3 linked regions of the Oryctolagus cuniculus genome follow. The protein of the gene in region 1 interacts with the protein of each later gene in a pairwise test. Links are inferred from orthologs where the notes say so. Each region holds a gene or a part of one and is shown on either strand. Other genes may lie near its edges.

The links.
Region 2: the proteins of RNF185 (region 1) and UBE2K interact in binary tests that used the Homo sapiens proteins (3 or more experiments, as listed by UniProt). The link is inferred for Oryctolagus cuniculus from reciprocal best matches to the Homo sapiens genes RNF185 and UBE2K.
Region 3: the proteins of RNF185 (region 1) and YIPF2 interact in binary tests that used the Homo sapiens proteins (3 or more experiments, as listed by UniProt). The two-hybrid records come from large-scale screens. The link is inferred for Oryctolagus cuniculus from reciprocal best matches to the Homo sapiens genes RNF185 and YIPF2.

Annotation. Positions count from the first base shown.
Region 1 is NC_091452.1:24,310,292-24,316,253, forward strand, and holds the start of RNF185 (E3 ubiquitin-protein ligase RNF185), read left to right. Parts: upstream 1-2,054; 5' UTR 2,055-2,211; intron 2,212-5,962. UniProt on the Homo sapiens protein: E3 ubiquitin-protein ligase that regulates selective mitochondrial autophagy by mediating 'Lys-63'-linked polyubiquitination of BNIP1.
Region 2 is NC_091433.1:33,547,892-33,554,002, reverse strand, and holds the start of UBE2K (ubiquitin-conjugating enzyme E2 K), read right to left. Parts: upstream 3,443-6,111; 5' UTR 3,371-3,442; coding exon 3,308-3,370; intron 1-3,307. UniProt on the Homo sapiens protein: Accepts ubiquitin from the E1 complex and catalyzes its covalent attachment to other proteins. In vitro, in the presence or in the absence of BRCA1-BARD1 E3 ubiquitin-protein ligase complex, catalyzes the synthesis of 'Lys-48'-linked polyubiquitin chains.
Region 3 is NC_091447.1:66,695,434-66,701,337, reverse strand, and holds YIPF2 (protein YIPF2), read right to left. Parts: upstream 3,443-5,904; 5' UTR 3,222-3,442; coding exon 3,191-3,221; intron 2,869-3,190; coding exon 2,699-2,868; intron 2,624-2,698; coding exon 2,546-2,623; intron 2,124-2,545; coding exon 2,036-2,123; intron 1,916-2,035; coding exon 1,799-1,915; intron 1,710-1,798; coding exon 1,543-1,709; intron 1,462-1,542; coding exon 1,279-1,461; intron 1,194-1,278; coding exon 1,077-1,193; 3' UTR 1,060-1,076; intron 973-1,059; 3' UTR 503-972; downstream 1-502. Other genes in the region: SMARCA4 (transcription activator BRG1), read left to right, coding at 3,567-3,706.

The sequences.
Region 1 (5,962 bases):
AGAACCACTCTATGGGTGCAAATCGCAGCTCCGTCAACTATCAAGGTATGATTTGATAGAATACACATTAACAGCTAACCCATGAACATAGTACAGTTTGGTTAGTTGTCTCAATATTATCCATTATAGTTATTCCAGTTTAGAATAACACCTCACACTTTCCTGTCATGATTCTTAATTCTCCTTTAAACTGGGGCAGTCCCTCAGTTTTCCATTTCACTGACAGTTATTTTGTAGTGTCCCTCGATTTGGATGTATTTGATGCCTATTCATGCGATTTGGACTATGCACGTTTCACAGAGATACCACAGAACATACGTTGTGTCCTTCTAAGTATGCTAAAGTAGCAAGGTAGACATAAGCGTATGTGTGCAAGAGGGGCCAAAGAAAATGGAATTTTTAAAGAAAATGAATTTATGTGCAATGGAATGAGGAGATAAGCTCTGAAAGCAGACCAACAATCACACCTAAAGTAATCACTCTTGTTCAATAACTCCGTTAGATGGGTTTCAGGGCCAGCACCGAGCTCAATAGGCTAATCCTCCACCCAGCGGCGCCGGCACACTGGGTTCTAGTCCCGGTCAGGGCGCCGGATTCTTTCCCGGTTGCCCCTCTTCCAGGCCAGCTCTCTGCTATGACCAGGGAGTGCAGTGGAGGATGGCCCAAGTGCTTGGGCCCTGCACCCCAGGGGAGACCAGGAGAAGCACCTGGCTCCTGGCTTCGGATCAGCGCAGTGCGCTGGCCACAGCGTGCCAGCCATGGCGGCCATTAGAGGGTGAACCAACGGCAAAGGAAGACCTTTCTCTCTGTCTCTCTCACTATCCACTCTGCCTGTCAAAAATAAAAAAATAAAAATAAAAAAAGAGTATGTAGAGATAAAAAAAAAAAAAAAAAAGATGGGTTTCAGCCCTGTCCCTGGGTGCCGCTTAGGGGAATCTCCCCTGCCCTGCACCAACAGGGCTATTAGGTCCAATAATACTGTGCTGGGAGGCTTTTTGGAAACTCCATATCCAGCCAACTCCCCTACCCAGTAATTTCTCATCAGAGGGAGGAGAGGAAGAGAAATAGGTGGATCCACACTTATATCCATAAAAAAATCCAGTTCAAAATGGACTAGACACTCAATTCTTTTCTGAGTCACCTGCCTGGTCTGAGTCTCCCATCTGTGTAGCAGGGACCCAACCACCTCCAGCCATGACCTGCTGCCTCCCAGTCAACATTAGTAGGAAGCCGGAGTCAGGAGTAGTGCCGGGATTCAAACCCACTCTGAAGTGCATGCAGGTGTTCCAAGAGATATCTCATCCACAAGGCGGACACTATTACTGTGTAAATACCCTGCTTCCCTTACTTCGCCATTCATTATTGCTATTCTAAATCCAACATGTTTAGTCATCGGTATTCTGCTGAAAGGAAGAGTTTCTTTCTCTCCAATTATTTGTTCACATATTTACTTTAGTAAAGACTCATGGAGTATTATTCACTTAGTTATACTCTACTACTTTTTTTTTAATAAGTTGTGTCTTTTTAAAAGATTTATTTATTTATTTAATATTTAAAAGGCAGAGTTACACAAAGAGAGAGGAGAGGCAGAGACAGAGGGGTCTTCCATCTGCTGGTTCACTCCCCAATTGGCCGCAATGGCTGGAGCTGCGCCAATCCGAAGCCAGGAGCCAGGAGCTTTCTCTGGGTCCCACGCGCAGATGCAGGGTGCTTTCCGGCAATAACAGAGAGCTGGACTGGAAGTAGAGCAACCGGGTCTCGAACCGGCACCCATATGGGATGCCAGCACTTCCGGCCAGGGCTTTGACCCGCGGCGCCACAGCGTCGCCATCGCCCCCCACCCCCCATCATTCTTATTAGCATCATCCTTACATGCTGGTACAACAAGATGTTCCAGGTTTATCCGATACTTTCCGAAACAACTTTTCCTTCAAGCAGCCCCAACCCCCAGCTCCCCTGAAAAACCGCCTCCTGCCGGCAAGCGGAACCTTAAAGCCCCTCTCCTGGGCCGGAGAACAACGCGGCGGACAAGCCTTTTCCGGTTAGGGCCGGAAGTCCTTCGGAAAGGGGCGGTTCCGTGTCAGGTGATCAGAGTTCGCGTAGGAGGGGTCAGAGGTCCGATCCTAAAGACTGACGGGGCGGTAGGACCGGCCAGTCGCGGACAGACCGACAGCCTGGCACGGCCTTGGAGGCGATAGCTCCGCGGAGGAGGTACGAGAGGGGCTGGGGAAGCTGCAGGGGCCGTCGAGAATGGGGGACGGGGACGGGAGCCCCAATTCTGAGGCTCGCGGGCTGCGACACCCGAACCCGGGGGCCCAAGCCCAAGCCCGGGGTTCTCCGCCGCAGAAGGAAGGTCGGCTGGCGTTGTAGTGTTCCGTCTCCTGATCACAGGGTGGGGAAACTGAGGCCTTGAGAACGGGAATTGCTCCCATGAGTTCTTTCCGGCCCGGGCCGGGAGCGGGGGGCGCACCCTGACCCCTTTCTGCCTCACGCGGGGCCGCCTCTGTCTCTTGTCGGGGTGCGTGGAGCGAGCTGGAGCCGAGGCGGGAAGGCCGAGACCGCGGAGCGTGAGGAACCGCACTGGGCTGAAAGAGACTCGGGTTCGAGTTCTGGGCCAGATGTCTTCGCTGGACTGCGCCTCAGCCTTCTCATTTGTAAAATGGGGGCAGTGTGCCCCCAGATATGGTCCTTAGCACCTTGTGTTTTGAAACCGCCTGGGATGCCGGCTTGACAGTTCCGGACTCGAATCGGACATCTGGCTTGGAGTCTGGGCGGGAACCTGGGGAGCCTAAGGCTTGCGAGTCCTGTCCACACGGCTGTTTGGCGCCGGTTCATTCTCTGCGCCTGGCTGCGCGGAGTGCTGGGTCCTTGTTCCTGGCTTGACAGCAACTGAAGGCAGTTCGGGAACTTTGAACGGACTGGGCGGTTTAACGTGGACAAGAGAGCACTCGCTAGAACAGAGCTGTCTTTAAAAACCGGAGGGGGAAAAAAAAAAGTTAGGGTGAAGTGGGCTTCTGCTTTGTCTTTAAGGCAGAATTAGGAGCGGGCAGTAGGTGGATTCTACAGAAAGATTTTTACTTGGGAGAGTGGTCAGAGATGACCAGCGGTAGAATGGATTGGCTGCAAGGGTTGCAGGGAACATACAGGTGTTGGGCAGAAGTCCCTTCCAAGATCTCTGATTCTGAGTAGTTATTTTGCAGCTTTCTGGTGCTGACTCAGCCCCCGAAGTGTGACTTTTTATTTTATTATTATTATTTGCTCTGCTCTTGACATCCCCCCCTGCAGTAAGTGAGGCCGACACGCCTGCCCTTATGTAATCTCTTCCTGGTTGGCCTGTGCACCATCCTTCTTTTCGAGGACTTTGGAATGACCCAGTATCTGATAGATGTTTGTTATGAATAACTAAACAGGGTCCCACCCCATCCAGTTAGTAGCTTATTTTTTAAGAACAACTTGGAAATGGCACTGAAGACCTTGTATTTGACCAGGAGAAGGCAGTGAGTTTTTGGGTCACAGAGCCGAGGGGCCGAGAGTGGAAAGGTCTCTTCAGGTTGTTTAGGCCAGCCTTCTCCCTGGAATATTCTCCCTCTTTAATTCTCTCTTCAGCATTGTCTATATAGACGTGGATTTTTGCATGGAGGGTAGCTTTAAATTTTTTTTTTTTTAGATTTATTTGTTTATTTGAACTGCAGAATGACAGAGTATGCACGAGCAAGGTCAAGATGTATTTTCCACCCACTGATTTCACTCCCCAAATGGCCACAAGAGTCAGGACTGAGCCAGGCGGAAGCCGCGAGCCAGGAGCTCCATGTAGGTGGCAGGGGCCCAGGCACTTGGGCCACCATCTGTTGCCTTCCCAGGTGCATTAGCAGGGAGCTGGATTGGAAGTGGAGCAGCCAGGACCCAGTGTGAGATGCTGGCGTCTCAAGCAGCGGCTTAGCCCACTGCAGCGCCACGCTGGCCCTATAGGCTGGCTTTCTGTCCAGTAGGTAGAACCATCCTTTTATTGCCCTGACTTGCCATCCCACCTCCCTGTAATCTGCACGTGATGCTTCTCGCTTATTTTTAGTTTTCTAATCAAACATCAGATTTCCTCACCTTGTGGCTTTACCCAACTCCAAGTAGATCACTTTTCCAATGCCTGTTTCGAAACGCTTATGTTGTCTTATGGAGCACAGATTCCATATTATGACCAAATTCTGCTGTTGCTCCCCTCAACCCCCAAACAAAAAGGGTTGAAGTTGAGCCAAAACCTGCCCTTGTTTATCCTTATGTTTGTGTTTCTCAAGATTAAAAAAAAAAAAAAAAAAAGTTGTGAAATGCTGTCTCAGATGTTATCCAGGTGATAGGTACAATACTCTTTTTTTTTTTTTTTTAAAGATTTGTTTACTTATTTGAAAGGCAGAGCTACACAGAGAGAAAGAGAGACAGAGATTGTCCTAGCTGGTTCACTCCCTAAATGGCTGCAGTGGCCAGGGCTGGATCAGGCCAAAGCCAGGAGCTTCATCTGGGTCTTCCACATGGGTGCAGGGGTCCAAGTACTTGGGCTGTCTTCTGCTGCTTTCCCGGGTGTGTTAGCAGGGAGCTGGATTGGAAGTAGAGCAACCGGGACTTGAACTGGTGCCCATATGGGATGCCAGCACTGCAGGCAGCAGCTAATCCACTTTGCCACAATGCCAACTCCAAAATACTCCTTTTTTTTTTTTTTTAAGATTTATTTATTATTTAAAAGTCAGAGTTACACAGAGAAGCATGGGGAGGGAGGGGTCTTTCATCTGCTGGTTCACTCCCTAATTGGCCGCAACAGCCGGAGCTGGGCCGATCCGAAGCCAGGAGCCAGGAGCTTCTTCCAGATCTCCCACGTGGGTAGCAGGGGCCCAAGGACTTGGGTTATCCTCTACTGCTTTCCAGGCCATAGCAGAGAGCTGGATCAGAAGTGGAGCAGCTGGGACTTGAACTGGTGCCCATATGATATGCCAGCACTATAGGTGGCGGCCTTACCTGCTACTCCACAGCGCCAGCCCCCTGAAATACTCTTGATTTGTTGGAGTTTTTAGAACATCTCATTTCCTTTTAGAGAAGTACGTGAATTAGTGTTTTTGTAAGGGTGTTCTTCAGGCTACTGGTCTGAAGGAGTGTTTCTGAATAAAGGGTTCGAAGGCGAAAATAAGTTTGGGGAAAATGACATGACATTCGTATCAGTCGGCTTTAAGTGACTACAGTAAAAACCTGGAGAGAAAACTGCTTAGGAAGGAGAGTTCACTTTGGCTCCTGGTTCTGGAAGTTCACAGTCCAAGACTGAGGCTCTGTTGATTTGGCCTGTGATTAGGCCACTTGGCAGCAGCAGAGCCTTGTGGAGGAAGGATCATGGCAAGCCAGAGAGCAGACAGGCTGTGTCCCACTAGGCTTTACAACCAACCCTCTCTCCAGAGTTACCTTCTCGGGGCTGGCATTGTGGTGCAGTGGGTTAAGCTGCCACCTGTGATGCCAGAACCCCATACTTGAGCCTGTTCAAGTTCTGTCTGTTCCTCTTCTGATCCAGCTTCCTGCTAATGTGCATGGGAAGGCAGCAGACAATGGTCGAGTGCTTGGGCCCCTGCCACCCACATGGGAGATCGGATAGAGCTCCAGGCTCCTGACCTTGGCCAGTTGTAATCATTTGGGGATTGATCCAGTGCATGGGAGATCTCTCTCTCTTTAAAGAATTATTTTTTATTTATTTGAAACACAGTTAACATAGAGAAGGAGAAGCAGAGAGAGAGAGAGGTCTTCCATCCTCTGGTTCACTCCCTAGATGGCCGCAATGGCCGAAGCTGCGCCGATCCAAGCCAGGAGCCAGGAGCCTCTTCCAGGTCTCTCACAGGGTGCAGGGGCCCAAGGACTTGGGCCATCTTTCACTGCTTTCCCAGGCACATTAGCAGGAAATTGGGTCAGAAGTGGAGCAGCCAGGGCTCTAAGGGGC
Region 2 (6,111 bases), on another chromosome or scaffold:
TGTTTTTCATGAAATCAATTTGTTTCTGCCATAGGTTTAAGCATTCTCTAGGAAACTATTAAAAACATTACCAACATGCAGCTACAATGTGAAAAAACTACAGACACCATTTAGCATAAAAACAAGAGTAGATGCATTCAATTGAGAGCTTTTAATTCACAAAAGCTCCAAAGCTTAAAAACTTTTACGTTAATTAGAGGTAACACTTATTTCAGTGAGTTTAAACTAACAAATTAGGTTGCGTTTAAATCCTTTAACTAGCAATGCAAACCCAGCTCAATTATTTTAAATAATTAATAGCATGCCTATCTTCACAAGCCATGACAATGTGGTACAACACAAACACAAGCAGACCTAGATCCAAATCCCAAAGCTGTATGTTCGCAAATAATTTTACTTCTCCTGGATCTCAATTTTCTCATCTCAGAAATCTAAATTCAAAGATTTGTGTTTAAGAATTAACAACAGTGTATAAGCAAATGGCTACAAATGGCAGCTGTTAATACCAGTAATAATTGACGGTAAATAATACAACTTTTGAATAAAATAGAATGGTTTTATAACATCACAATCAACAATTCACCTAATCATCTCAACAACTGAACTCATAACTACAAAATGCACCAATCCAGACAACTTTGAATTATTACCTAAAACTCAATTTTAGAAAATAGTTTCCAACAGCTACAAGATGGATTTCTAACACTGTCCTAAGGAAAACAGGCTTAGATGGTGCCTTTATGTATTTTATTTAGTCTGAACAGATCTCTTCATACCCTATACACCCAACCCCCCTACACAAAAGAAGCTACTTTTACCAATTTCTCATGATGCTTTCACCTGCACAAATACATATTCTAATAGTTGTGTATAACCTCTTGTGACATTAGCTATCTTCACAAAGACACAAAAGGGCTCCCCAAAAAAGGGGGGGTCTTTAAATCAACCACTAGTTTTAGTAAACACAAGAACAGGAAATAAACTTCAGTAAACCAGAGATTCACATAACGTGACATGACGAAATAACTTATTACTGATCGGCCATTCAAAATACTGCATTTATACCCTTACAAAGAACACCAGTCCTTCAATAAGCTGAAAATAATCAACATAATCTACTTATATAACTGGGCCCACTAAAATATTGATGAAAATAAAGCTGTTTATTAGTTATATTTATTTCAAGATTAAACTGCTTGACCTTAACTAAAGGTTCTTCGCAACTCACTTTCTCCGAAGCAGTTTCCTTCCAGATTTATAAAGGTACTTTAAAAATAATTTTGTTTGTATTTCCTGCTTGCTTTCTCTAAAATACTATGACACTTTTAAAAGTAAGGCTCTAGTAGCCCTTACATTTAAAAAAAAAAAAAAAGATTATTTTAACAATATGCACTTCTAGGGTAATACAAGTATTTCTGGTAATCCTCAACTTAAGTCCTTAAGAATACAATGATAAAGTCACCTCACATAAAGCAAAAAGATCACGTGAATTACCTGAAGCAGTAACTTACCACTTTTAAATAATACAAAAAAAAAAAAAAAACACCACAACTATTAGTTCATTAAGTTTCAGGCTTGTACACCCTTATTATAAAGGAAATGTTTTAGGATGTTAGCAACAATATTAGCCGCAATTCTTCATTAGGAATATATACATCAACTACCCTGGAATACATCTTTCTTATCATTACTAAATAGAAAGTTAGTACCACTGTTTCACTGCACACTCTCCAGACATTAATGACTCTATTCTGCATTGTACCACAAAAAATACAAAGTCATCCTTCCATTCAGAGTTTTGGCATATGAACGAACACAAAGGTCAGAGTTCATACACATGCTCTGTAGAGCTGATCATGACTTACGTACTACTATAGTCAATAGATCTGCTAGTATTTGTCATTTTTGAATTTTATAATGATTTTCTCCACATCTGATGTATGGAAAGATGAAATCACAGTAGATTCAATGACACAAATAAAGCTTAAGTGCTATTAGACTATGTCAATTACTCATCACATCCTGGGAAGGCTGAGTGTCACAAATCTTTATTGACATTATCAAAGCAACAATTAGAAAAGACACAAATAGCAATGATATATTCAATAATGACATGGGTGTGGATCTCGAAAATAGTAATTTTCAGTAGTTATGACAAACTGTACTGACACTTGCAGAGTTTCGAGTCAGAATTACTAGGACATTTTAAATACCTTACATAAGTAAATGTGGTCAGAAGTAAGGCATCTAAATTCTGCAGGACTCAACGGCAGAAAAAGACAATTTAAAAATAAAGAATATGCTATGTCAAGAGATGTATATTGAGTTAAACCTACTCAATTAAGAGACAACAATGTATTAACAGGGTGAAATCCTTTGTTTTTAATGGGTCTATTTTTAAAAGACACAAGTTTTAACCATGAGGGACATCATAATGGAGTTTCATGGCCCAACACGAGTCACAGAGGCATTGTCTTGAGACAGTCTGATATGTAACCTGTAAATAATGTTCTCAAATAAGCTACTCATTCACTATTTTTTCCTTAGCTAAAAATATGTAAATATCTTTAATACACTACCTAGCCTCTGCCCCGTTAAAAAGCACTAGATGTCAATAAAGAGGCCTAGGAACTGGGGGGCACGTGGAAAGGAGATAAAGATCTCATTTGGAATTAATTCCCTATCTCAGGTGAAAATTCCTTTATCCCATCCCCCAAACAAGCTAGTATCCCATTATGCCTTTCCTGTCTCCCCACGCCTAACTAGGAGGGAATACCTCTGCATGTCCTTCTCCTTCCCCCAGCACCTCAGGGCTCTCATCGCTCCTCGCCTTCGGAACGGACAGCAAAGGCCTAACAGGCAACAACCCCAAGACCCTTCAGAGTGTGGGCCTTGGAGCAGCGCTGCTCTCCGGATCCAGTTACCACCTTTCCCCTTCCCCCAACCCACTTCCCGGGTTTTCTCAGGCCCGGCCTTGCTGCCTTCCCACACCCCACAGCCACACTTCCAGCTGCTGCCACCGCCTCGAGGCTCGGGAGAGAGAGCTCGTACCCCGCCGCGGAGTGCACCCCTCTTCATCCGCCCCCCCCCAAACCGTACTCCTCCCCAGACCACCCGCCCGCGAGCCGTCCACCCCAGGGCCCTAGAAGGGAGGGGAAGGCGGCGGGAGGAGGAGGGGGAGACGGCCGCTTCCCCACAGGCAAAAGGGCGGCCGCGGGGAGGGCCACCGGGGATATCGGGGTCGCCGCTGGGAGGGCCCGCCCGCCCTGGGCCTTGGTGGGGGAATGTCCGGGAGTTCATTTCTGACCTCCTCGCTCTTCAGCACCTCCTTGAACTCCCGCTTGATTCGCTGCACCGCGATGTTGGCCATGTCTCCGCCCGCAGCTGATTCGTACCCGCCTCCTCCGCCACCGCTACGACCACCGCCACCGCCGCCACCTCTTCCTCCACCGCCTCCTCCCTCGGAGATTCAGATCCCAGCACACGAACACCGCCGCTGCCACCCCGGCCGCCGGGCTCTGCTCTGTGGAATCACCTCCGCGCCCGGCCACCAAAATGGCGCCGGACCCGCGCATGCGCACGACACCGACCCGGCCGGGCGGCGCAGCCGCTCCCGTTGTAGCCCCATACGCCTCAGCCACGAGCCCGCGCCGCGCCGCGCGTCTCAGCCGGAGCTGCGGACGCGTGACTCCGCCCTGCCGGCGTCTGGGGCCGGGCGGGTGCGGCTTCCGCGCTGGCCATCCCTGCCTCGGCCTCTCGGATTCGCCGCTGCGCCCCTGCTTCCCCCCACCCGCGCCTCGCTTGGACGACCCCCAGTGTGGTACTGGCGGGGCTGCCGGCCCCTGGCCTCTGCATGGAGGCCCGAGCCCGGCTGAGGGCTTCCTGCGGCCCCACGCGGCCTGAGCGTCGCCCTGACTCAGCCGGATCCGGGCTGCGTGTGCCCGCCGAGTCTGTGTGAAAGCGCGGCCCCGGTCGGCCCAGGGTCGGTTAGGACAGCCCCAGAAAAGCCACCGCGGTGGCTTGGGTTTTTTTGCTGGTTTTTTTTTTTTTTTTATGGTTTTTTTCTTTGTGGGGGGGAGAGGAGGGCAGAGCATGACTGCCACTCTTAACAATGATCATCTGAGGGACTACCCGTCATTAAACTCAGGGCGGCTATTGTTGGAGCCCATTGCTTCTATTTGAGATAGGTTTCCCCTGGAAAGATCTGAAGTGGGTTTAGAAACCAGATACTGACCGCTAATCTGTGGAACTAAAACCTTGGTTTTCAAACTTGAGTGTTCATCAAAACCCCTGGAAGTTTTTTTCTTTTCTTCTTTTTTTTTTTTAATCGTATTGGTGAGCCTCGTCTTTAGAATGTAGGCTGGGGCCGACGCCGCGGCTCACTAGGCTAATCCTCCACCTTGCGGCGCCGGCACACCGGGTTCTAGTCCCGGTCGGGACGCCGGATTCTGTCCCGGTTGCCCCTCTTCTAGGCCAGCCCTCTGCTGTGGCCAGGGAGTGCAGTGGAGGATGGCCCAAGTACTTGGGCCCTGCACCCCATGGGAGACCAGGAAAAGCACCTGGCTCCTGGCTCCTGCCACCGGATCAGCGCGGTGCGCCGGCCGCAGCGCGCCGGCCGCGGCGGCCATTGGAGGGTGAACCAACGGCAAAGGAAGACCTTTCTCTCTGTCTCTCTCTCTCACTGTCCACTCTGCCTGTCAAAAAAAAAAAAAAAAGAATGTAGGCTGGGCCTAAGGAGGTGCCTAACAAACTCCCTGCCTCTGCTGCTGCTGCTGACGATGAACCACTGGGCCAGGCTTGTGGAAGTCTACGCATTAAGGTGAACACTGGCCAACAGAAGCTCCTTACAGGGATGGTGTTGGGGCCTAGAGCCTGCTAAGGTGGCTGGCGCTAGTAGGCACTCAATCAATATTGAATGTGTAAAAAAAGGAAAATGGTGGAGGTGGATACTCTGTTTGAAAAGCTATTTGACATGGTCGACAGCGCTTGCAGTAAATAAGACGGTTTTGACACCAAGGACTCTTATGAGTAGAACTTTTGGAATGGGGATTAAAGGTCGTAATCACATAACCCAATCAGCAAAATGTCCTATTGCAAAAATACGGCAGCCACATGAATTTAGCAAAAATAACGACAATTGTGGCAGCCAAAAAGGAAGTAGCCGTTGGACATGAATAGTTCGGCAGAGGCACATGGCAAAAGGGAATTTCTTGAATTCCTGCCCCAAAAAGCAAGAGCAGATTTTCTTATTACAATTTTCTCCCCTGCCTGCTCTTTTGGCCAGCTTTGGTTTCCTCGTCTGTGAAATAAGAAAGCTAGAGTTAACGATCTCTTTCAAGTTTTAGAAGTTCAGAGTTACAAGGATCCTCTCAAAACATTTCCTAAGTGGACTAACGTAGACGATTAAAAAAAAAAAAAAAAAAAAAAAAAAACAACCTTCTAGCAGAGCCCCCTAGCGGTCCTACGAGGAGTCAACTATATACTGTACGTAGGTCACGATACAGTGGAGTATTGGCATAATGTAAGTCATGCAATGCTATGTTCCAGTACATTTAAAGCAAATTAAGGTATCCAAATTTTTTAAGCATTTTCCATTTTTACCACTCATTAATTCCCCAGTCCAGCTCTTAGAACTTTAAAGGAACTTAAAATACTCAAATCACAGGTGGGCCATTTAGATGGATTTAGTCATTTCTTTGAGGATGTGAGGTTTGGTAACTTTTAAAGGTGCATAATCCTTAACAGTTCCACTTCTATGAATTCATTCTGTAGTCCTTCCATATAGACAACTACGTATTAGTTGATAAAAAACAATCATCAAGATACCTTTGAAGTGAAAAAAGCCCCATGGTAATGTGGCATCCTGGATTGGATTCTAGAACTGAAAGCACAGAACTAGTGAAGTATGAGTGAATTGTATCAGTTAGTAATAATGTAGTGGTATTAATTTATTAGCTTTGATTTGGCACTATAGTTATGTAAGATGTGAACAGTACTAGAAGCTGAATAAGCAGTATATAAGAATCTCCATACTATCTTTGTATCTTTTCTGTAAATTATTCCAAAAGAAAAAGCTTACATTTAAAAAAGCACAATGCATTCCTTATTGTG
Region 3 (5,904 bases), on another chromosome or scaffold:
AGCTGCGCCCGGTCGGGGTGGGAGGCGGGCGCAGCTGCCGCCCGGCCCGGCTGGGCGGGGCCCCCTTCAGCTCCCAGGCCTTGGTCACCACGGGCGTGACATGCTGCTTTTTTTAATTTTATTTTTTTACGAAAAGAACCAGTGTCAATCCACAGATCCTCTGAGAAACCCGGCCGGCCGGGCCCAGCCAGCAGCCCCCGTCCCCCCCTCGGACTCAGAGGCTCAGTGGCGGGGCGCGGGGGGGGGGTGCCGGGGCGGGGGGGCGGCCCTGCAGGGTCCTCAGGGCCGGGTGGGGCCAGGCCCTGGGACCCCCTCCTCACCCAAGGGTTCACCTCACACTTGAATGTACAACCCACCCTGGCTGCCTGGAGGCTCCGTCCGCAGCCCCCGCCTCCTGCTGCTCCCATCCCGCCCCGCCCCGCGCCCCGTGCTAGACCGGTGGCCTGGAGGGTAGGTCCCAGCGCCCCGGGACAGGCACGGACACCTGGCGCTGCGCCCCGGGGCTGGGGGGGGCGTCCCGTCCTCTTCCTCTAGCTAACCCTAGGCCTGTGTTGCCGTTCCAGTCCCTATACCATGATGGCATTTCGGCCCCTCCCAGCCTGGGAAGGGACCTCTCCCTCCAGACACAGAAAAGAAAGAAAAAAATAAACCAAGCAGGACATGGATGTCAGCACAGGCAGTTTTCTTGTACTTGTCCCCGTGTCGAGGCCCCGAGCACAGCCAGGCCCGAGGCCTCGGGAGGCAGGGAGGGGGAGGGCGGGGCCGGCGGGGGCGGGGGCGAGGCCCCCCCTGGCCCTGCGCTGGAAGCTCCCTGCTCGGCTGTCCCTCCCTACCGCCTTTATATAAATTCTCTGAATCACCTTTGCATAGAAAATAAAAGTGTTTGCTTTGTAAGAAAAGTCTGGACGTGGCGGAGGGCCCTCAAGGCGTCCCGCGAGGCCTGGGTCGCTATCTGGGGGCCCCTGGTGCGGCCTGAAAGAGAAGCCCCGGGAAGCCCCTGTGCGTCTCGCCTGGGGCAGGGGCCGGCCCCCACCGCCTTGGCCGGGAGCAGCTCCTCACCTGCGGGCTCGGGGGTCCTAAGAGGTTGCCGTGGCCTGGGCTGGTGTGGCCGGCAGCAGCGTGTTCACGCCCAGAGCTGTGGCATGGGGAGGCACGGCCACGTGCTGTGGGGGCAGCGGCTGGAAGAAGTACAGCTGACCCGAGACCCCCGGGGTTAGCCCCGCGGCTGGCGGGCCGGCTCCCAGCCCCGCGGCCCCGCCCGGGTCAGCCCCACTGTACCTTACAGCCCATGGCCAGCAGGGTGTGCAACAGCACCACCGTGGACAGCAGCGCCGCGGCCGCCAGCCTGCTGTCCTCCCGGACCACGGGCCAGAGGGTGAACACCAGCCCGGCGGCCGACAGCGCCAGGGCCAGCGCCCCCAGCATCCACTGCAGCCAAGGCACGGGGATGAGCCACAGGACCTGGGGACAAGATGGCAGCCGGCGGCCGTGCCAGGCAGTCCCCGCAGACCCCCCGGCACCCCCTCTGGGGGCCACTCTCACCACCGTGGGGATGAAGACGAAGAGGGAGTAGCCGTAGACACACACAGTCTCCAGGAAGGTGTATGGCCCCACGCGCTCCCGGACGGCCTTGCGCCACCGCAGGAAGCCCCACAGCGCCAGCGGCACGAGCCACGCGTAGCAGTAGATGGTGATGCCTGCCACGGTCACTGTGGGGGAGGGGAGGAGGAGGCGGTCACGCGCCCGGCGCCCCACGGCACCCCAGCCCTGCGGGTGCTGGGCCTGCCAGCCTGCTCACCTTTGTGGAACTGGGGGCTGTAGTGGATGGAGGGGTCCCTCCGCTGGGCCAGCACCAGGGTCAGGTTGCCAGTGACAGCAAGGACGAAGGCCAGGGTGGCGCAGATCCAGAAGGGGCCTGTGGGGGGCGTCCGCGGGTGGGTGACCCCTCTGTCCAGCTCTGCCGTCCTGAAGGGAAGCTCCGAGGGATGGCCCTGCCCCGCCCACACGGGCTGGACGCACAACCCACCGAACTCACCGTAGAGATCCGGCCGGTTTCGCAGCCGGTGCCGGACGAAGTTGTGGCCGGGCCGCGGCAGCAGGGAGCCCTTGATGCGGTCTAGGACCTGGGGGCAAGTCCCGTGTCAGGACGCGAGGTGCTGCCAGCCTCCTGCCCCACCCCGCCTGGCAGAGCTCAGCTCTCCCCCTGGGTTTCCGGCCGGGCTTATCTGCAGACCCTTTCTCGGCTCAGCGCTGGTCCTGTCACCTGCCCAGGGCAGCGCCACCGTGCGCAGCAGGTGCGTCCCCACCCCAGGCCCTGGGCCCTTCCGGATGCGCTCCCTCCCGGAGCCCCGCCCCAGGCCTTTGCGCCTCTGTCCAGCTCTGCCGTCCTGAACAGGTCCCAGCTCTGCAGCCTTGGTTTCTCATCACCTCCTGGCTGGCCCACTCCTCCCCTCCTCCTTGCTGCCCCGGCACCCCCTTCCCCGGCCCGAGGCCTTGCCCTGAGAGCTCGGGACTGAGCCCCGCGCGCGACAAGCCCCAGCCTCACCTGCCAAGTGTCCACGTCGAAGAAGCTCTGGTAGTAGCCGAAGGTCCAGAATCCGGGCTGAGGCTTCTCCTGCAGGAGCTGCACCCGACACCGTCAGTCCCTGCCCGACAGCCTGGGGGACACGAGCGCTTGGGCCACGCTTGGGCCACTCACCGCTGCCTTGTCGCCGCCCTCCTCCTCCGCCTCCTCCTCTTCCTCGGCGCCGTAGCTGCCGCTCGAGCCCATGGCCACTGCCACGTGCCCCTGGGGGGTCACTTGGTCACTCTTGCTCGTGGTGGCGGCATCGGGGGTCTCGGCCAGGAGATTGGTGGCTTCCTCGAACTCTGGGGAGGGCGCATGGGACGCAGGTGTACCGCGCGGCCACCTCGGTGGTCTTCCCCGAGCCAGTCTGGGGGCACGGGGAAGAGAGCTGTCCCCTTAGGCGAACCCGGGGCTGCAATGTAGGGTTCGTCCTGGGATGGGTCCTGGGACGTCACGGGCCCGGGGCACGAGTGGAGGTGGATGGAGGTGGGTCTCACGCGGGGGTCGGGTTTCAGATCCGGGGTCAGGGTTTACCACCGTCTGGGATTCTGGTTAACTCTGAGCCGGAAGCTGCCCGGCCAGGGGCCGCAGTGGGGGCGCCGGGCACGCGCGGGCCGCACTCACCGTGGAAGGCCAGCTCGTCGGCCGCTGCCATGGTCGCCGGGCGTCCTCACTGCATCCCGCTCTGAGGACGGAGCTCCCTTCCCGGGGCCTGTGCCCCGGCTCCAAGCACTGCGTAGTGGCTAACGGCACCCACGGGCGCTGACACTCGCCGTCCTGGCCCCTACAGGTGGACCCCGCCCTGCCCACCTGCTGCTGCCTCGGCCGGCGTGGCTGCGACTAAGTGCGCCTGCGCGGCCCGCCCACCCTCGAAGCGAGCCGGGTCGCTCCGGACAGCAACATCCGGCGCCGGTCTGTTCTCTATACTCTTCCGGCGGGAAGCCACGTCCGGTAGCGTGGGCGCGTGCGCAGAAGGCACTGCCCGGAGCTTTTATTTCGGATGCCGGGTGTTTCCTTCCGGAGAACGGACCTCAGACCGGAAGAGGATGGCGGCGACCGCTCTGAAGAGGTTTTGGGCCCGAGGACGCCGAGAAGCGGGAGACGCGGCGGCTGCCAAGCCCGGCGTGTGGGCGCGGCTGGGTAAGTAGGGGCGGAAGGCGGCGGTGGGGGTGTCCGCAGCGTACCCGGACGGTTCTGATGGCGCGTGTTTCCTCCCAGGCGCCTGGGCCCGCGCGCTGCTCAGGGACTACGCCGAAGCCTGCCGGGACGCGGCGGCGGCGGCGCGGGCGCGGCCGGGGCGAGCGGCGGCGTGGGCGGCGCTGCTGGGCGGCGCGGCGGCTTGCTGCTCGCTGGCGCCCAGCGAGGCGGCATTCGAGGAGGCGCTGCTCGACGCGTCGGGGACTCTGCTGCTGCTGGCGCCGGCCACGCGCAGCCGGCCTGCCGAGGGCTTCGTGCAGCGGCTGCTGTGGCTTCGGGGCCGCGGGCGCCTGCGCCACGTGAACCTGGGGCTCTGCTCGCTGGTGTACGAGGCGCCCTGCGACCCCCAGGCCAGCCTCTACCAGGCTCGCTGCCGCTACCTGCAGCCCCGCTGGGCCGACTTCCCGGGCCGGGTCCTGGACGTGGGTTTCGTGGGCCGCTGGTGGGTGCTGGGCGCTCGGATGCGCGACTGCGACGTCAACGACGAGGAGTTCGCGCACCTGCCCGCGCACCTGCGCGTGGTCGGGCCGCAGCAGCTGCGCTCCGAGGCCAACGAGCGGCTGTTCGACGAGAAGTACCTGCCCGTGGTGCTGACCGCGGAGCAGGTGGACCAGGCGCTGTGGGAGGAGCAGGTGCTGCAGCGGGCGAGGAGAGACCGGCTCGCCGCGAGCGAGGCGGAGGCCGCGCGGTGAAGCCCCGCGGCGCCGTGCCCGGGAGCGCGACCCCCGAGCCGAAGACGTCGGACTCGTCCCGTGCGTGGACCTGGCCTCCTGTTTGCATGACGGACGTCCCCGCTTGTGTCTTGTGTTTACTTTGCAATAGAAGCTGGAAAAGTACTGTGGAGGCGTCCTGTGCGTTCTTGACCCGGGCGACCCCCCCCCATCGGCCGCGCGCGTGGGCGCCCCAGGACCCGACGGGGAGCCGTGCGCAGGAACGGACGCACTGGGGCGGGCGCCGCTCTGCCCCCCGCGCACCGCGCTCTGCAGGGCCGGCAGGTGGGGGCCCCAGGACCTGGCCCCCGGCCGCCCGTGTGCGAGGCCCAGATGGAGCTCCTGCTGTTGCGGGTGTCTGGGGAGTGAGCTGCGGGTGGGAGGGGTCTGTCTCCTCTCTGTGAATGTCTCCGCATCCCGCGCCAGCCGGCTGTGACCGGCCGTGTGGGCGGGGCCGGCGAGGACGTGGAGGAAGAAGCTCTTTGTGTGGGAACCCGAGGGAGTCGCAGGTTCCGGGTTTGTGGGGAACCAGCAACGCAGAAAGACTTCTATGGAAGGGAGTGGGCGAGGGCGCGGGACCCGGACCGCGAGGGGTACGGGAACCGCGCTTAGAGCTGGATCGCGGAGAGCGATGGAGCCGTGATGGTCAATAAAACCCGGAGGAGAAGCGGCCTGGCTCAGCGTGGTTCTGTGCAGAGCGCACGCGGTGGCCTCTGGCCTGAGTTCTGGGCGCGGAGCGCCTGCGCAGTGGGCGGCTCCACCTCAGGCCGAGCCGGGCTCAGGTCTGCGCCTCCCAGGCCCAGCGCCGCGGCTCGTCCGCGCTGCACAGCCCGGAGCGTGGTGTCGGGTGCTCGCTGTGGTCGTCTCTGACCCTACCTCTTGCCCAGATCACTCACTACTGCTGTCTGGGCTCCGAGTGAATCTGGGGTGCAGAAGTCAGTGTGAGGACTGGAAGGACGCGTTGCCAGTGCTGTGGCGCGGAGGGTGGAGCCCCCACCTGACACCAGCATCCCACGTGGCGCCGGGTCAAGTCCCGGCTGCTCCACTTCCCGTCCAGCTCCCTGCCACCCATGTGACCCAGCCCTGGCTTTTGTGGCCATCTGGGGAGTGAAGCAGTGGATGGAAGACCTCTTTCTCTGTCTCTTCTCCCTTTTGAAATAAATAAACCTTCAAAACAACACAAATGAGAATTCAGAATTTAATCCTACGTGGTCACTTGTCAGCGACCACCGACATCCTGCCTCCCGGGGCTGCCGTGTGGCACATGGGTCAAGACACACATTCCGTGTCGCGGGGCCTGTAAGGGTCCTGGATCGGCTTCTGACTCCCGCTTCCTGCCAGCGTGCAGCTGGGAAGGCCACAGCTGAGGCCCCTGCCCCCCGTGGGCCATGCAGGAAAGTTTAAAAATAGTTAAACCGCACCTTTGTTAGG